2 linked regions of the Cricetulus griseus genome follow. The protein of the gene in region 1 interacts with the protein of each later gene in a pairwise test. Links are inferred from orthologs where the notes say so. Each region holds a gene or a part of one and is shown in the gene's direction. Other genes may lie near its edges.

The links. The genes of interacting proteins can lie anywhere in the genome.
Region 2: the proteins of bystin (region 1) and Mid1 interact in binary tests that used the Homo sapiens proteins (3 or more experiments, as listed by UniProt). The two-hybrid records come from large-scale screens. The link is inferred for Cricetulus griseus from reciprocal best matches to the Homo sapiens genes BYSL and MID1.

The regions. Positions count from the first base shown.
Region 1 is NW_023276806.1:255,579,856-255,583,964, forward strand, and holds the start of bystin, read left to right. Parts: upstream 1-1,309; 5' UTR 1,310-1,405; coding exon 1,406-1,670; intron 1,671-4,109. Other genes in the region: mediator of RNA polymerase II transcription subunit 20, read right to left, coding at 887-900. UniProt on the Homo sapiens protein: Required for processing of 20S pre-rRNA precursor and biogenesis of 40S ribosomal subunits. May be required for trophinin-dependent regulation of cell adhesion during implantation of human embryos.
Region 2 is NC_048604.1:104,293,821-104,297,865, forward strand, and holds the start of Mid1 (E3 ubiquitin-protein ligase Midline-1), read left to right. Parts: upstream 1-1,243; 5' UTR 1,244-1,373; intron 1,374-4,045. UniProt on the Homo sapiens protein: Has E3 ubiquitin ligase activity towards IGBP1, promoting its monoubiquitination, which results in deprotection of the catalytic subunit of protein phosphatase PP2A, and its subsequent degradation by polyubiquitination.

The DNA.
Region 1 (4,109 bases):
TCGACAGCCCATAAAAACATATACAGAAATGTTTTATAGGGCCCAGTGACTCTGCTGTGATTTCTATTTTCACTGCTGACAGGTACTTTTTACGGTGTGATGAGGTTGAGATAAGGCTCCTGGTGTCAACTAATTTGCACGTATAGTAGTCACTAAAAACCCTGCAAGAGCCTGGGTTTCCTGAAGAACATCCCACACACACATTATACAGAACAGCTGGGAAGACACACACCACTACCAAGATTTTTTTTAACGTGCTGAAGCCTAGTACTTTGGAATTAATGCCCTGAAGAAAAGCACGGTGTCCAGACATTACCAATCACCTCTCTTTTTCCAAGTGAGATTTAAAACACGTTTCAGATAAAAAACAAAAAAAAACCCAAACCTGACTCAAACATGTAGGAAGTGATTCTTGGATAGTTAATGTGCCTGGAACCCCGACCTCCAAACCTCCAACAGCTCCTTTTCCTCTCCCTCTGACATTAGACCAAATTAAAGCCAGGCTATTATTACTGCAAGCAAAATGTAAAAGTCACTTTCTCCTAGAGCGCCCCCCTCTTTTTTATCGCTGCCTGCAAATAATTCTTAGTGCGAAAGCCTATTCCCAACTTTTAGGTCCTATTGGCGACAATACTATGGCCTGACGGACATGAAGAAGTACCAAGAAAAAGAAGGTACGACTCCTGACAGGTTCCTGGAATGAAGAGTTGGCTTTGCCAAAAGGATGCGCCTGGGAAGGAAGAAGCACCACACGGCGTCCCTTGCTGCAACACGACCCGAGGACATCTTTGTCAGCCCGCGAGGAACCGAGAGCTTCCGTCCCGATCCCCCTCCTGGGGCCTTCACGACCCCAAGCTCCGTCCCACAAGAGCCCCTGCAGTCCTACCAAGTCACTCCCATGGCGCAGGGTCAAAGGGGTGGCACTGCCAAACACTCGAAGTCAAGGGATCCAGAGGCCCCTGGAGGTAGAGCCGCCTAAAGCAGGATGCAGGCTCCGGAAATACGCAAAATCTGAGCGCCAGAGCGGTACACCCACAGAAGGGAGGCGTGCCCGGGCGCTCCAGCGATGAACGAATTCCGTCATCAGCCCGGCTCCGCCCCCAGGGCGCGCTTTGCTTTGACAGGACCTCTCAGGCTACATTCATGAATTCTGTCTGGAAAAGGTGACTTGGGACATCCACCCACTTCCGTACAATGAGATTACCTGAGAATCTGGGGAGTCCAGCTCCCGCCCCGGAGCTCCTGGAGAGATGGCGGTATATGAGGCACTTCCGGCCTCCGAACGCTGGGGGGCGCTGTGAACTCTCGGTGACCTCCCGAGCACCGGAACACAGGGCGCAGACACAGTCCTAGTTTTAAACCGGCTTCCCACGTGTGAGTAGCATCGGCAAGTTTTTCGAGAAAAATGCCCAAATTGAAGGTGGCCCGCGGGGCCCGGAATCAGGAGAAGCATGCACCTCTGGCCGAGCAGATTCTGGCTGGGAATGCAGTGCGCGCGGGGACCCGAGACAAGCGGCGGGGACGCGGGGTTGAAGAGGAGGAAGAGTATGTTGGACCCCGGCTGAGCAGACGCATTTTGCAGCAAGCCAGGCAACAGCAGGAGGAGCTCGAGACTGAACACGGGACTGCAGACCAGCCTGCAAAGCCACGGGAACGCGCCACGCGGCTGGGTGAGTGACACGGGCTGGAGTGGTGGCATGGGCCGGACTAGCTCAGTCCATCCGGATACGGGTTTGGAATTACAAAGAGGAGGCAGTTTTTCCTTCCCGCGTGGTCCTTCACTTCAACGCGTACCTTCTGGAACCTACCTCAGAGTTCCAACAGGAAGTAATCACTCACACCAAGTTCCAGTATTTATTCTCTGGGCTTGTGAAGTATGACTGTGTTTCCTGTGCAATGCTTTGAACTGTGTTAAGAGTTCAGGCAGTTCTAAGCCGGGCGGTGGTGGCACACACATTTAGTCCCAGCACTCGGGAGGCAGAGGCAGGCTGATCTCTGTGAGTTCGATCCACAGAGAAACACTGTCTTGAAACCCCCCCCCCCAATAAAAAAGAGTTTAGGCAGTTCTGATACCGAAATAAACAATGTACTCGTCCTTGCTTTTAGCACCGGAAGTCTACCCCAAGGCAGAGAATATTAAATAGAGTAACATATTCCAGCAATGAGCAGCGGTGCTCGCCTGTAATCCCAGCAGGTGAGAAGCTGAGGCAGAAGAAGGCCCTCGTGGACTACATAGTAAGGTCCAGATCAGCCTGATATACATGGTATACCTCTATCGATCGAGACAGTAAAAGAAAATGAATATATTCCTATTCAAAACAACAACAACAAACCCGCCATTAATTCAACAGGCCAGGCACCCCAGTTTTGTGCCCTGCCGACTAAGATATAAAAAACATGGGAAATGTTCCATTAACCGAGGCAGGAAAACAGTTTAGAATCGAGTGGGGGTGGGCGGCAGAGATGAGTGGGAAAGTACCTGATACTTGTCTCATTGGGAAGGTTGACCTCCAGTTTCTTAGTCTTGCCTTCTTATTCTAAAAGCAGTATTGAGATGATTGAATATGGCTTTAGGGCCATAGTAGCTTTACTTCCTTGTTTTGAGGTAGGGTCTCATTCCCAGGATGGCCTCAAACTCTGTATGTAGGTGAGGATGACCTTGAACTACTGATTTTTGCCTCTGTTTTTCCAACTGATGGCAATATAGATATTTGACACCACACCTGCCCTTAAATTTTTGTTTTTAAATTACGATACTGTGTCTCCTTAAGTTACTCATGCGGGACTTGAACTTGCTCTGTGACCAGAGCAGGCCTGAGTTTTAGGTTTTCCTGTGTTGCTGTCTGCAGATTCCGGTTTGAAACCATGCATTTGATGACTACTCCCAGCTTTTTCTCTCAGACATAGTTCTTTCAGTAAACTAACATCCCTATATCCACCTGTCTACCTGACATCTCACTGCTTGCTCCATGGAGTCTCTTAGCACATTAGCCTCCCCTTGCTCAAGGCTCCTCTTTCTCATTCTACATCAGGTTTGTCAGTAAACCCTGATGATTTGTGTCTTCAGGATATATCCACTTCCTTAGCTTGGAACATCCTCCTGTTTGAGTTCCCTTGAATCACTGTGGGAGCATCATCATTTACTGTTCTCTAACGTCTGTAATCCATTCGTCAGCTAGTGATCAGTGACAACCTGTTGGGTCCACCTCTGCTGACCAGATGCTAGGGAGGTGATGAGAAAATTCAGTTGGTGAAATACATGCTTTGGAAGCAAGAGCCCCTGACCTCAATACACAGCAGCTCGTAATCCCAGAACTAGGGGGTTGAAGACAGATTTCCTGGTCTACATAGTGAGCTCCAATCAGCCAGAGCTACACAGAGAAACCCTGTCTCGAAAAACAAACCAAAAAAAGGCACTTATTTTTTCAGAAAGACGAGAGTTTGGTTCCAAGTATTCACATGCCAGACCACTGCTATCTATAACTCCAATTCCAAGGGCTCATATGCCCTCTTCTGACCTCTTTGGGCACCAGGGACATTTATGACTCACAGGCATACACATAAAATAGTGTATATAAGTCTAAAACAAAATTAAAAAAAAAAACCAACAAAACATGGGTCTCGCTGGACATGCTCTGCGTACTCTCCTGAGCTATGTGTACCCTTAGTCCAATTCTGTTGCAAATGACCTGTTGTTATATAATATTTCAACTCCTTTGGTTTGTTAGACTCTTCCAGGGTCTTTGCCAGCTATGTGTGGTGTTTCAAAAGTCAGCCAGGTGTATTGGCACGTGACTTTAAATCTGAGCACTAAGGAAGCAGAGGCAGACAGATTTCTGTGAGCTTGAGCAAGTTCCATACCAGCCAAGGTTACATGGTCAGACCCTTGTCTCTCAAAAACAACAACAAAAACAAACAAACCAAGAGTTCAGTGTTAGAATTACAAACATGGACCACACTGTCTAACACTTGGGAGGTAGAGACAGAAGAACAGCCTCAGGGCAACACATAGACTAATAGAAATGGGTTAATTTCAATTAAAAAGCTAAGCAGAAACAAGCCTAAAGCTAAGGCCAAACATTCATAATTAGTAGTAAGACTATGTCATG
Region 2 (4,045 bases), on another chromosome or scaffold:
GCTGGCCTCAGTCACTGCCAACATCCATTGTCTCTCCTTTCTGAATCAGGGAATCAAAACAGCACTAAGGTATTTTTAATGGCATTGTCACTACTCTAGGAGAAGTCAGCTGGTGGGCACAATAAGAACAAGTGATTCTTTTAAGGATTGCTTATACTTATTACACAGTCTTCATCTCCATTAAAACATAGGAAAATCTTACATCTTATTGCATCTACTTCTTACTAAGTCTTTAGTGGAATGAATTACAATGAAAAAGAATTACTACTTTACTATGATGTTTAAAAGTATAGAGAAAGAATCAAGTATTACGAAATCTACATGTATCATATTTTAAACTGTATTTCAAGCTACAGTTAAGCCTCCCATCTATAGAGTTCACTTAAAGATCTATTTCTTATCTTCTTAAATCAGTGAAATTGCTTAAGACTTTTTTTTACATATAGCCATGCAAATTCACAAATCTTGTATTTCTTTTTTGACACAATCAAATAATATGTTGGTTAGGGAAGATTACTGCTGCAATAGATATAATCAAACTGGTATTTCACCCTTCAAAAATACAATAGCAATCACTGTCTTGTAAAGCAAATAAACATCAAATATTTATATTGTATTATCTACTAAAGTCCTGGGAAAGTTGTTGAGTAAGTTAGTTGCTATGCTCAAATAAGTCAGTTGTGCCTTGTTTCATGGAAGTTTATTCTCTTCTCGTTCTCTTTCTGTCATAAGATTTACCTCTTTGAAAATAATCTCAAAATAATATTCCCTATTTTTAAAATCATGAAAGACAAAATGTGATATCCTATACTTTGATTTTTCCCCTTCAGTGCTTTCTGATAATATAAGGTTGGTCACAGTGCGTGATATAAAATACTAGTTGTTAACTCTCAGTTACACTAAAGGGGCCAATTTTTTGCAGACTGCCAGGATAAAGATGATTTTAATTAAATCCCACAAATCCCTTTGTACTGCAACCAAACCCTCTGCAGGCCAACTGTCTCTGAGTCCTTCTGGCATGTATAGAGTTAATCAGGTTACGGGGGGGGGGGGAGATCCTAGTTAACTTCTTCCACCAGGAATGCAATTCATGTTTACCTATATAAGGAAACCTGTTAGGCTGACCTGAGTTTGGCATATTTTTTTTTTTTTTGCTCTGACTGAGAGGCATGTAAGCACACACCCTGGAGAGGGGGAGCGATTCCCAGCTGGACAGAGCAAGCTTCCTGAACGCCCCAGCCATTCAGCTGATCCGAGGCGAAGAGCAGAGCTGGTACTTGCCCGGAGCAGCCTGCTTGGCGGACCCACAGGTTTGCCTCTTCCAGCTCTCAATTGAGGGACAAACCCCCATCCTGGGAAAAATGGGGAAGCCGGTGAGTTTTACTGCTCTCTCTCTCTCTCTGCTTGCTTCTGCTAAGGGGCACGCCTCGCTGCTCTCACCCAGGAAGCAGAGGGAGAGGCGTTGCTCAGCCTCTAACCCCACAGCTCCTTCCTGAACAAACACAATGCTTTGCCGCGTACCTCCAGCTAACTTTCTCTGCGGGCTTTGCACATCAAAAATCTACCGAGGCAGTAATTCTAGCACCTTAGACATCCCAGAAAGTGTTTTTACTGAGCAAGAGTTTCCAGACCACCGTGATGAGCAAACTTTCTCATCTTTCTTGCGCTCTGAAACAGTGCAGATGAGTTTACGGGGGTGCTTGGAGAGAAACGCTGAATCCCCAAGGAAGTAAGAATAAATCTTAGAGAGTTTCTTAAATCCACAGGCAGGCTGATAGTCTGCGGAAACAGAATTTGTCATTTAAAAAGGCAGTTTGAAGCTATAATTTTTCATTCCCGAGGAGCAAAATACTTGGATCCTGTACGTGTAATAAAGGACACCTTCTGAGACACCGAGGAGAGAAAGAAGCAGAGCTGGCTCCTTTGTTCTAGACAACAACGTATAGAAATTCACTGTTGCATTTTGACAACTAGCATATGCCTGCTTATATATAAGGTGGAAGTGATGAATAAGGCATTATGTCAAGGGCACTGTGGTCAATTGAGTTAAAAATTGGCTGTGCTCTACACATATATAAAACTCTCAGTCTGAATGTAATTAAATATGGGAATGTGAAAGTACTTAGCAAACTTAGAGGGAAATTTAACTTACTACTTGGGAATAGTCAATTATAAAAGGCAACTTGTGAAAGGAAATTTGAAAAACCAAAAACCTGTTTCCACAAAGTTCTGAGGCATAGGTAAAAGTTAAAATGAAAGTTTTCTTATACTTGTCAAAAGTGATTTGAAGGTACAAATTTGTAATTTTTATTTTTGTAAGGCAAGGTGATTTTTTTGAATTGAGTTACTTTGGATAGTTTTGCTAAATGGTGTGACTGCTTATCTTTCAAAGGAACATTGTTCTTTTCTGTCACACACAACACTTAATTCTAAAAATTTGTGCAGTAGCGATTTTGCTACTGACTGCAACAGGTGGCAATGAGGACCTGGTTGCAGATTTGCAATGATGAGGATTAATTTCCTAAATTAATATAAAGGAAAGTAATTGATGCAAAAATGTTTTGAAAGGAGAACACTTTTATTATTAATTGCTAATAATATTCCACTTTTCTACTTGTAGCAAGACTATTGTCTTAATATAGATTGGCAGCTGGCTAGTCATACGGACAAATCTCTGGCCAATTTTACTTAGGGTCCTTGATTCTAAACAGTACAACTATGCTCAGTAACACAGTTTAAATGCTGCTTGCTTACTGCGGTGAGAAAAAAGTGGGAAAGAATCATATATTATAAGGGAGACATTTTATTAAATAAAATTCTAAATAACAGGAGCAGTGAGGGAACAATGCAAATGTTTAAAGCTTGTTATCTGCACACTACTGCTAGGGGGGCAATGGGAGTCTTAATATTGTGCTGCTATCAGTGGGAGTGAGTAGCCCAGGAGACACAAAACACTATTTTAAAATATACCCTTAATAACAGATGGTTTAATACCAGGTTGTCTCACCATGCTGCCGATGAGATGGCCCCAAGCCAAATCAACTGGCATGTCTACCGTTTTTCCTGCGAGTGGATGTGTACATTGTTATTACATACTAATTACATTAACAGCCAAGGGAATATATAACCAGGAAGACATAAGAGTCTCCTGAGCCACAGAGGGTGAGGGTCTTTACAAGGATTTTGAATTTCACACTTAGAAACCTCCTTGCCTGTGACATGAGTTGCTGCAGATGATTGGAAATGTTATCTGTAGAATCTATGCATCCCAGGCTCCTTACAAGCTCATTTTGGGGTAACAATGCTGATTATGGAATGGGACACTTCAGAATTATCAGAGTTCCGGGTAGATTTCATCTTGAAGATTAAATTCATTTAGTGTTTAAATTGTTCTCCAATAAAACACAGTTAGGATGCTACATTTTTACATTAACCCTTTCAAGTCACTGGTAATATGTTCTGGTGTGAAGGGCGCAACATCCTTAAAACTATGAAAAGGTTTTCCTGGGTTTTGAAATTAAAAAAAAAAGACTAAAGAATTCTGAGCAAGGGAAGGGATAGGTCTTCTGATAACTTTGATATGTTCATAAGTTGTGAATTTGTAAAAGCAATGTGGTATGCAACCTACAAAGCACAGTTAGCTACAAACTTACTAATAGTTCCTGGACCAGGCTTCTTTTTGTGGGGGTATCTGGTTATATCAGGACACATTCTTTAAGAAAAAGCTAGCCAGAAATTGAGAACATGGGAAGAGAGGGAAGAAGAGGAAGGATGTAGACGTCATGAGGGAGCAGAAAGATTGAGTCAGAGGAAGAATAGAAGAAAGGGCATGTGATAGGAAGGGTTTTAGTTGGGGGAGGTGGTAGGGGAAAATGGGTGGGAGAAAGGAACTGGGATTATCATGTAAAACAATCTTGTTTCTAATTCAAATAAAAAATGATTAAAAGAAAAAGCTAGCCAGTAGATGGGGTGCTGAGCACTGCTCAAGTGAGTTGCACACATGCCTACTTGTTTATATTTCTTGGCATGTTGTCTATCGAGCTGG